Linked DNA regions of Cricetulus griseus. The protein of the gene in region 3 interacts with the protein of the main gene of each other region in a pairwise test. Links are inferred from orthologs where the notes say so. Each region holds a gene or a part of one and is shown on either strand. Other genes may lie near its edges.

What was found.
Region 1: the proteins of Hoxa1 (region 3) and Trim42 interact in binary tests that used the Homo sapiens proteins (3 or more experiments, as listed by UniProt). The two-hybrid records come from large-scale screens. The link is inferred for Cricetulus griseus from reciprocal best matches to the Homo sapiens genes HOXA1 and TRIM42.
Region 2: the proteins of Hoxa1 (region 3) and Egfl7 interact in binary tests that used the Homo sapiens proteins (3 or more experiments, as listed by UniProt). The link is inferred for Cricetulus griseus from reciprocal best matches to the Homo sapiens genes HOXA1 and EGFL7.

Annotation. Positions count from the first base shown.
Region 1 is NC_048597.1:205,874,032-205,877,681, reverse strand, and holds part of Trim42 (tripartite motif-containing protein 42), read left to right. Parts: intron 1-1,338; coding exon 1,339-1,563; intron 1,564-3,650.
Region 2 is NC_048599.1:137,982,361-137,985,537, forward strand, and holds the end of Egfl7 (epidermal growth factor-like protein 7), read left to right. Parts: intron 1-193; coding exon 194-309; intron 310-488; coding exon 489-584; intron 585-749; coding exon 750-914; intron 915-1,193; exon of another isoform or gene 1,194-1,273; intron 1,274-1,543; coding exon 1,544-1,608; intron 1,609-2,040; coding exon 2,041-2,203; intron 2,204-2,319; coding exon 2,320-2,342; 3' UTR 2,343-2,574; downstream 2,575-3,177. UniProt on the Homo sapiens protein: Regulates vascular tubulogenesis in vivo. Inhibits platelet-derived growth factor (PDGF)-BB-induced smooth muscle cell migration and promotes endothelial cell adhesion to the extracellular matrix and angiogenesis.
Region 3 is NC_048601.1:89,186,393-89,190,142, reverse strand, and holds the start of Hoxa1 (homeobox protein Hox-A1), read right to left. Parts: upstream 2,158-3,750; 5' UTR 2,044-2,157; coding exon 1,395-2,043; intron 866-1,394; coding exon 510-865; 3' UTR 1-509. UniProt on the Homo sapiens protein: Sequence-specific transcription factor. Regulates multiple developmental processes including brainstem, inner and outer ear, abducens nerve and cardiovascular development and morphogenesis as well as cognition and behavior.

The sequences.
Region 1 (3,650 bases), on a different chromosome or scaffold from region 3:
GAGAATAAGCCAAAGCCATGCAATCCCAATTACATGCATTAGTGTGTTCGTATCTCCTGATAGTAGAAAAGCACTGTAACAAATTAACCTGTAGATTAGGAGGGATGTTTATTTTCTTCCCTTACACTTTTTCTGCATTCCCAAAGCATGTTATCATAAATGTGCTTGTTTGGATAATCAGAAAGAAAATTAGTTTTATTTGCTGGGTAGATTAATTTATACATTTTAGTACTTATAAAATTATACATTAATTGGATCTTATGACATTTAGCTTTTTCCAAAAATATAATAAGAACATTAGTAATCTGCTTTTTCTTCGGATTTTCAAGACACGGTTTCTCTGTGTAGCTCTGACTGTCCTGGAACTCCCTGTAGACCAGGGGGCCTCAAACTCAGAGATCCACCTGCCTCTGCCTCCCGAGTTCAGGGATTAAAGACATGGACCACCACTGCCAGGCTGAAATGTGCTTTTAAAATACTATTTATTTTTAAGGTTTAGTACCAGCAAGATGGTGGCACTTACCACCAAGTCTTACAACCTGAGTCCTGTTCTCAAGGATCCATATGGTAGAAGGAGAGAACAGAGTCCAGCAAGGTGTCCTGTGACCTCCACATGTACTCCATGACACTTAGCATCGTGTGAGTGTACACATGCACACACACATACACACATACATAATATAAATAAATAAATGTAAAAACACTGCTATCATAAACTATTTCTGTGCCAAATGTTATCTGCTATTTGAGACTTACTGCTAAATCTCTTCTCAGGAGTTGACATCTTCTAATTGGAGTACAAACATTCTGTCTCCACTGTTGGATATTTCCTCATGAGTAGAGAAGGAAATAGTTTGCATCCCAGCTCACCCTAAAGGGCTGGGAGATGAGTATGTCACGCTCCCATGTTCTGTGATTTGCTGAAATTTGCCAAATGTTTCCTTTCTCTGTCTGTAAAGTGGGAGGATGAAGTCTGCCTTCCAGAGGTTTCTGAGGGTTACCCGATTTGGAGACAGAGAGCCCAATGTGAGAGCTGGTGTGTAACATGCAGCTGGTAAACTGCATCTGTGGCCGTTGCCTCTGCGTGGACTGACTGGAGGAGAACCCTTTAGAGCAATGCCCATTCCTGAAATTGATTTTGTGTAGCACATCAGGCTTCATCAGAGCTGCCCGAGCCCCTTACCCATGATCTAAGTCAAAGCCCACAGCAGCTGTGGAAGATAGGGTCAGCTTAAGCACACCCCACATACAGTCAATAGCACAAATCTTTAGAGAAGGACAGCCAGGGGTGTATATCAGTGCGTATCAGCGCCCTGCTCACACACCCATTTCTCCTAGGTTTACTGGACATGCCCAACAGAAGACGTGGACTCCTTTGAGATGGAATTCTATGAGCTCATTAATACCCCTCCTAACAATGTTCGAACAGAGCTCTGTGGACAAATTCGGGACATCATGCAGCAGAACCTGGAGCTGCACAACCTGACTCCCAACACAGAGTATTTGTTCAAGGTTAGAGCCATCAACGATAATGGTCCCGGGCAATGGAGTGACATCTGCAAGGTCAGTACATTCATTTCTTAGGTAGATTTTTTTTTATTACTTGGACTTCTTAATTCTTACCAATTTATTGGAGGGGCCCATATGTGCACGCATGCCCACACACTACCCACACATGCACGCCATGGTGTGCACATGGATGTCAGAGGAGAACAACTTGCAAAAGTTAGTTTCATCTCTCTTATGTGGGTCCTGAGGATCAAAGTGAGGTCCTCAGGCTTGTTGTCAAGAGCCTTTGCCAACTGAGCCATCTCTCTGCCCCATCAAGTGGGAATGACTTGATAGGGTCCAGATTTGGCTTGAAGATCATCAGAGAACGGCGAATTCTGCCTCTACACTCAGAAAGCTAAAGTCTCAGCCAGAGGCAGGGCTGCTGGTCTCCACCAGACTGTGCAAACCAGGTCTGAGGATGGTAGGGTCTGCTGAACTCAAAACGACTTGTTCTAGGCTTTATGTTAGAATATAGAAACGCAGAGTTAAAACCAAGCTTAACCCCTCCTTCTGCGGCAGTCAGGAACTAGTAAACACACCATGGTATATGAGGAGAATAAGAAAAACAAACTCCAAGGGAGTGCTACACCCTGCAGAGGCAAGGTGTGAAATTTAGCATAGAGGCAGGACAGTCGGTTAAACCAGAATTTCTCAAAGACAGCAAACAAAACTTGTGGTACAAGTACGCCCTATATAATATTTAAGACATTTATACTAAAATTATTTTTTGTTTAACTGGGAGTTAAAAAACAGACACTGAGCAAGTCCGTTGAGCTCCATAAAGCAAGGAAACAAGCTTCTTCTTTGCACTGGAGAGCTGATTCTTCTTCGAATTCCCAAGTGACACTCATGAATGCCATCAGACTGATATTAAGAATACCAGACTGCCAAGAGCTCTTCTACTATGTAACTGTGAAGATGCTCTTTGGAAGCTGAGTAAGTCTTAGGGGTTCTTTAAAATGTAGAAAGGACAGGTCCATTCACTTGGGGTTTAGAAGAAGGTGGACTTACAGCCTCAAGAAACTTCTAAGATACATCTAGAAGACATGTGTCTGTCTGACCTGACATCCACAAAAACCAAAAAGTTATCCCTCTCCCTCCCCTCCCTGCCCATCACTCTTCTCCACTCCCCCTCCAGTCTCTGCCCCATCCCTTCCCTCCCTTCCTTCCCTCTTCTCTCCCCTCTTCTCCTCTCACCTCTGCTTCCGTCTTCCCGTCTCTTTCCATCTCCCCCTCCCTTTCTCTCCCTTCCCTCTGCTCCCCTCTCTTCTCCTTCTCCTCCTCTCCTGGCCACTTCTCTCTGAATCTGCCTCAGTTTCGGTTACCCCTTAGTTTCTACTCCCTTAAACCCAGCTTTCCTGTACCTTTGGATAGTCTCCATCCATGGCTCAGTACCCATCATTCTGGTTAATCACACTTTAGCAACTTGCTGAGATATTTGAGTGCAAGAATCTGATTGGTCATTGTCTCTAATAATAATGGAGAATGGGAAATAATGACAGGCAGGCATACGTATGCTGCCATGGAGCAAGTCTGCAGAGTAGGCTATTCCCAACACCTCCTACTGTCATGCTTCCTTCCTTCTTCCTCAAAGGTCAGACACATACCAAGGAAGCGTGATGAGAAAGCCTGTCTGGCTACTCTTCAGCTGTTTCTCAGTCAGCCTCCATGCCTGTCGATCAGTCGCCACAGAGACCTCCTCACTCCAGAGCCCCGAAGCCTCACACCTGTGACTACATAATGTACTCTGTGCTCTTGACTGTGGATTTTTCCTGTAATCTGATCCCATCTGCCTCCTCAGCTTTTAGACTCTCTCAGAAATGGCTTGCCCATGAAGGGCACTCAGTAGTTATTTTTTTTTAATGAATCATCTGTCATCTCTTGATGTGAGGATTGGGATGGATAGAGTACTTGAGGACTGCCATCAGTCTGTCATGCTACCTCTTGGGTCTTCCCCTCCCTCTCACACTATGACCTCCTCGAAAACAAAATTCTTGCCTAATTCATCTTTCTTTATCCTGAGGTGCTTACCACAGCAGTTTGCATACAGCAGCTTCTTAATGGTTATTGAGTGGATACATGAGTAAAACTGTAACCAA
Region 2 (3,177 bases), on a different chromosome or scaffold from region 3:
ACACACAGGCTTGTATGCTGACCCCATCTATGCCAAATGAGCTGGGGCTTGGGAAGGGAACCTCAGATCCTGGGACTGATGCTGGCTAATCATCCACAAACAGATGAGGTGGGTAGGGTGCATCCTACCTGAGAAAGACTTGGCATAGGTCACCCCATGTTGGACCCCTCTGAACCACCCTTATTCACCACAGAACCATCTACCGGACTGCCTATCGCCGCAGCCCTGGGCCAACTCCCACCAGGCCTCACTATGCCTGCTGCCCTGGTTGGAAGAGGACCAGCGGACTTCCCGGGGCTTGTGGAGCAGGTGAGGGCAATGCGCACTGTGCCCAATGTAAGACCCCACTTCCAGCTGCCCAGCAGAGGCCCTGCTGCCTTCTGTCCCCCAAGTAGTGCATCCTCGCTGCAGGGCAACCCTTCCCTGGCTGTCACAGGGCTCTGGAGACCCTCCTGAGTTGGTGACAAACAGGCCTCTTCTACCCACAGCAATATGCCAGCCTCCATGTGGGAATGGAGGGAGTTGTATCCGCCCAGGCCACTGCCGCTGCCCCGTGGGATGGCAAGGAGATACTTGCCAGATAGGTAAGCACCGCTCTTCTTCAAAGACAGGTCTTCTTGGTGCCTTGTATATTCTAGGTTACTGCCAGCTGAAGCAGTTTTCATTGATAAGTTGGTCCTAACAGGGGCCTGTGGCCAGGACCTTGCCTTCTGTAGACACAACTAGATCAACACCTTCATTTCCTACAGATGTGGATGAATGCAGTACCGGAGAGGCCAGCTGTCCCCAGCGCTGTGTCAATACTGTGGGAAGTTACTGGTGCGAGTGTTGGGAGGGGCAAAGCCTGTCTGTAGATGGAATGCGCTGCCTGCCCAAGGAGCGACCCTCCTTGGTGGCCCCAAGCCCCACAGCAGGTAATCTTGCCTTTCCACCATACTGTGACTGACCTGGGTGGTTGTTGGGTTGTGAGCACTGTTCTGTGGTTGAGCTGAGCATGGAGGTCACAGGGGGCAGCTCGCCCTGGGTGGAGGTCAGCACTGTGCTGCGAGGGCTGAGCCCAGACATCCCGGGCTGGAGGGAGGTTTCTGGAAGGCATTGTGGGGAGACAGGCATACCTGGAGTCTCATCTCAGCCAACTGAGTGAAAATGAGCCCCACCCTGGGTCTGGCAGCCTGGAGACGCCGTGTCTTTGCCGGTGACAGCACATTATTACTTTTGGTACGCGCTGTGACACTTCAAACTCGTACCGTGAGTAATAATGCGCTGTCAGCAGCCCAGCGCCAGGAGTGCACCGGACCTGCATAAGGATCGCCACTGGCATGCCAGACCCAAGACCTCGGTACCTGGTGGGGGTGGGGTGGGGGTAGGCAGGGGCTGCTCTGAGTTATGTGCTCTGGTAGGGCCTGAGACTTAACAGCAACATCCAGAGGCTCATCTCCAGGCTCTGCTCCCACAGCTGTGGCAGCAGACATAGGGCTTCCTAAGGCTAAGAGCTCGTTGTGGGGCAGGAAACTCCCCTGATTAGCACCCGATCTGCCCCCAGGAGTGGACAGCATGGTGAGGGAGGAGGTACACAGGCTGCAGTCCCGGGTTGATGTGCTGGAGCAGGTGAGGCTTGGATGGGAGTGAGTCTGGCTGGTGTCCACAGACCCCATAGTCTCTGGGGCTGTGGTTCCAAGCCATATAGGATGGTTGGGGGTTTTATGGGGAAGGGCTGTGGGGATTCTGGCTTTCTTACTATGCCAGGCAGCACTGTGTGGGATTCCCCAGCCTGGGAGGAACTGAGGTTCAGAGCCCACTTAGCCTGTTGTACAGGACTCTTCCAAGTATCATCAAGCCACAGGTCCCATGACTCCTAGCTTGTCTCTGGGTCCTGAAACCATTTAACTAGGTTGTGGGTATGTTATACACCTGTGTCTACTAGGTTTTGGGCTCCCTCTATTTGTAAGCAGGGCCCCTGCTGCTACAGCTCAGTAGGGGACTTATCGCACCCTTACTGGTCCTACCTGGTCACTTGGCTTTTTGCAACCTCCCTTACAGAAACTGCAGTTGGTGCTGGCCCCACTGCACAGCCTGGCCTCTTGGGCTACAGAGCATGGGCTACAAGACCCTGGCAGCCTGCTGGCCCACTCCTTCCAGCAGCTGGACCGCATTGATTCACTGAGTGAGCAGGTCTCCTTCTTGGAGGAGCAGCTAGGGTCCTGTGAGTGCCACACCTCCCCACCCACAAAGATCCTGGGGAACCCATGGGGTGGGTGGAACTACCCCTGGGGATTGGCAGATTTGCAAGTTTGCACCCTCTTTCCTTTCCTGCTCTAGGCTCTTGCAAAAAAGATCTGTGATAGCATCTGGTCACCCAGGTTGGACTAAGCTGTCACCCTTACATCCCTGCCAGCCGGACTTCAGGTGCTATCTGGTGGTGCCTGTGAGCAGAAAGCCCTGCTTGTCTTTCCCTATTTCTCAGGTTCCTAGGACTTGGGCATGGGGAGAGGGCATGGGGTCTTGTGACTCTCCCAATAGGGCTTTCCAGGAAAGGTACGCGAGCACCCTGTCCAGAGGTGAGGTGGGGATTGTCCCCATCTTTGTCATAATAAAAGCTGGGACTTGAACTGCTGTCAGTGGGTGAATTGGGACTGGGCGTGCACTGTACTCCCATCCTGGAGGCTCCAAGTAAAGTGAAGCACCTGTCTACACACAGGAGCTGCAGCAGGCAGACTGAGGCTCAGTTTTCCCTTGGTGGCTTGCTGACTCCACTCACAGCCAGAGGCTAAAAGACCGGTCTTCAGCCTGTCCTCAAGGTCATGCCTCCAGGCCCATGATCTGTCACCCTTCAGTTCTGTGGACCCCACACATTCACTGAGAACAGCACTGCTGACTGATCACAGCTCATCCCCTGGAGGCAATTTGGGGGAGCAGGGAACTTATATACTGCAGCCCGAGAGAAGGGACATGTGGGTGGTTAGATACCATCCTTGCCACCCTGGATCCTTGAATGGAGACCTGGGAAGCGGTTCTTGCCCACCCTCTGAAAGAGACCCCTGGTCTCTAGGCACTTCTCAGAGTTCATTTATAAAAAGAAAAAAAAAAAAAAAAACGAAACAAAACAGTACAGCAGTGATCTGTGACTGAGACCATCGGACAGTGGGGGATGGCAGGCTCTGCCCTCTGGTGCTGTGT
Region 3 (3,750 bases):
TAGAAAATCTGTATAAAGATAAATCTCTCAAGAGAAAGTTAAGGGGTGAATTAATTGTGTAAACACACTCAGTCAATCTCTTCTTCATGAGCCTTTGGATACTCTCTTTTTTGTGTGTCCTACTTAAGAGCCAGGTAGAGAAGAACAATATACAGATAAAAGGTGAGATGCCTCCCTTCTTCAAATGCCTGCTGGCAAAGGGTACTGTCCTCCAAGGGACATCTGAAAGGAACCATGGGTTGTGTAAAAAAAACTCTCACAACAGTGAGGAAGGAATTTTGGGGGCCACCAGAAATTGATATGGGCACCCGATGTGGATTAAGGATTTAATTTACAACCAAGTCTCCAGAATTCTATGGAACTACATTATGTTGCCCAGGAGCTCTCTGGATTGGACCAGAAAGAAAAAGAGAGACTGTAAAGGAAGAAAGATAAGCTAGAGATGTGCTTTGGGTAAGAAACCCTAGCCCAGGGAGAAGCCTGGACTACGGAGCTGGGCTGGAGTGGCCTCAATGGGAGGTAGGCAGGGTGTCTGAGGTAGATGATGCTGGAGAAGGAACGCAGGGCGAGGAGCTGGATTTCTCAGAAGATTCTTCAGCTTTCTCGTCGCTTCCAGGAGGAGTGGCTGGAGAAATGGGCAGGAGCCCCTCCTTCTCACGCTTCTTCTGCTTCATGCGGCGATTCTGGAACCAGATCTTCACCTGGGTCTCGTTGAGCTGCAGGGACGCGGCTATCTCCACCCTGCGCGCTCGTGTCAGGTACTTGTTGAAGTGGAACTCCTTCTCCAGCTCCGTGAGCTGCTTGGTGGTGAAGTTGGTGCGCACTGCGTTGGGTTGACCCACATAGCCATACTCTCCAACTTTCCCTGGGGTAACGGAGGAAGAGAGGAAAAGGTAAAAATTCTTTAACCCTTATCCGATTGCCCAATGTTCGGGGCAACATTCGGTTAACTGCTCAGCACAAACCCAGCTGGGAAGCTCTAGTGACAAACGATGTGTATGTAAAGTGTTAACCTGAAGTCAACCATTAGCGTGGTCAGGCTTCTGATTAATGGAGCCTGTAGATATTAACAAAACTCCACCACCACCGACACCTCCCACCCACACCACACCACACACACACACACACACACACACACACACACACACACACACACACACACACACGCTTCCTACTTCTAGACCACTGAAGCATCAGCCCCTTTGAAAATGCCAGGTCCAGAAACTGCTTTGCCCCAACACACCTGGGCATCCTACACCACACACTATAACTCCAGAAGACACTAGACAGAAGCAAGAACCCATCTTTTAAAATCATTAACTTTCCTAGGAAACTAAGCGCACCGGCCCCTTTCAAAATCAAGCAACATTTGTTTGCCAGCCGGCAGGACTCACCTGTTTTGGGAGGGTTTCTTTTGACTTTCATCCAGTCAAAGGTCTGCGCTGGAGAAGGCGTCTCTGAAGCAGGGGAGCGACAGGCTTCTTGGTGGCTGGCGTGGAGAGGGGATAAGGAGTTATTATACGTGGCCAGGGCCAGGCTCTGGTGCTCTTGTCCATAAGAGTGGTGGATATACTGAGGCGAGCCCACCGTGCCCCCAGCATAACCCTGGTGGTGGTGGTGGTGGTGATGCTGGACCATGGGAGATGAGAGGTTTCCAGAGTAAACAGCGGGAGCGCACGGGGAGTACCCACCACTTACGTCTGCTTCCTGATTTAATCCATAGGGGCCATAAGGCGCACTGAAGTTCTGCGCGCCATAGCTTGGACCACAACTCGAGTGGGAGTAGGAAACCCCCAGACTCCCAGAAGTCTGGTAAGTAGACGGCTGGGGGTGGTGATGGTGGTGGTGGTGGGGCGAGCTGATCTGCACCCCCCTGCCCACTAGGAAGCGGTCGTCGCCGCCGCAGCTGTTGGCACTGACCGCGCAGGATTGGAAAGTTGTAATCCCATGGTCAGAGGTGTAGGCTCGCGCAGAGCAGGTCCCGGAGTCGCCACTGCCAAGGATGGGATATTCCAGGAAGGAGCTCATTCTTGCATTGTCCATCTGTCACTGAGTGACTGGGTCCTGCGAAGCCCTGGGTGACCGTGCCAACTTTCTCACTTCCTCCATGGGACCAGAGAAGAAAAATGATATGAATGTACAGTGCGCAAGAGGCGGGGCGGGAAGGCGGAGGACTCAAGGGGAAGGACACGTGACTTTGTCAACCAATGGCTGAGCCGCCTGCGAAAGTTTACCGGCTGCGGCGGTGATGGATCACCGTTTCAGTGGCATTTAAATCCCCGGCGCTCCTCAGTCTAGGTGACGCGCGGTCGCCCCCCCAGGCTGCCCGGGCCGCGGCGGCTGCTCCGGCCGCTGCCAGAGCTGACTTGGAGCACTGGGGCCAAGGGGAGTAGAGATTGACTTCTGCGCGCGCCCGACTCTGCTCGCCTCCGCCTCCAGGATGTGGGGGATGGGAGGCGACCCTCCGCGGCCCTTTCCCCACCCAGCCTAGAAAGCTGAACTGACAAGAGGTGAGAGGGGACGAGGCCTCTCGGCTCTCTTGAGGCGGGCCTCGGTAGGCCAGAGCTCTCTGCATGGTCTCAAGGACCCTGGCGGAGCCGGGAGCAAACAGGGTGGGAAGGGTAGGAATCCAGCACACATCATCCCCTCAGCTCGGGATGGCCGCCACCACCCAGTCCCTGCAGAGACTTGAGCCTGGAACCCAGGCGCCTAGGGCAAGGCTGCGTCACTGCCTCACCCGCCTCGGAATGTAGGGGGACGTGCGCAAAGGATTGTCTGGGAGGAATCAGGGTGGGTGTGATGGGGACCAGAGAAAGAAAAGAAGCTACTGTCCTCATCCGGAGGGTCTCAGAGCCCTCTGCCCTGACTCCTACGGGCCAATAGCGTGGCTATGGGAGCTTCTGTAATTCGACCCCAGGGGGGCGGGGGAGCCCTAGGAACCCAGCTCTCTGGGAAAGTCCGGGTGTCTGCTCTCTTCTCTGCCCTCCCTCTTCTCTGGATCTCTTCCCCTTTCTCCTTCCCAGTCAGTCAGCTTTGCTCTTGGTAGTCCCTCAGGATCCGGAGCAACTCTGCTGCTGGAGTTTGAGGGTGGAAGGCAGATGAGAAAGATGACGCTAGCAGACGTGGCCGGCATGAGGGCCGAGCCTGAGCTGCAGGCCTTCTGTCTGCTCTTAGAGACCCAGGAGCTTGCTCGCTCCAGCGTAGGCCTCAGAGGGACGGAGGGACGGGACAGAAGGACGGATCGCACAGTTCTTACAAAGTATGCTGACCTCCCGCGTCACATTTCTCTCTTTCATAAGGGGCTTGCTTGTTAGGAGTGGGAAAACCTCCTCTTGCCACCGCCCCCTATTGCATGTCTGGGGGGTGGGGAGGGACTGGCAGGTGGGAGGGGCAGTGGACAGATGGCTGAGTGGATTGTATACTTTCCAACGGACTGTGTAGTTGCTTGTGTGAACCTTCAGGTCACTCCCCAGAGAGACACGTGCAAATGTGAGCATCATCCCAGGACAGGGGTCCTGTTTTCCATCAACCTCACCCCTACGATGATGCTGATGGTGTTGGTAATTGCTGTTTACTGTTAGGTTTAATGTCAGCCCTAGGCTTGAAGAGAGAAAAGGCCACACAGAGAATGAACGCGTTCTTAAGTAGGAGAAAGTCAGTGATCACCTAAGAAACCTTGCAAGCAATTCTGCACAGGTTTTATTCTGACCATGCTTCTAGACGTGAAATTATCAGAGTAATTTATGTGTG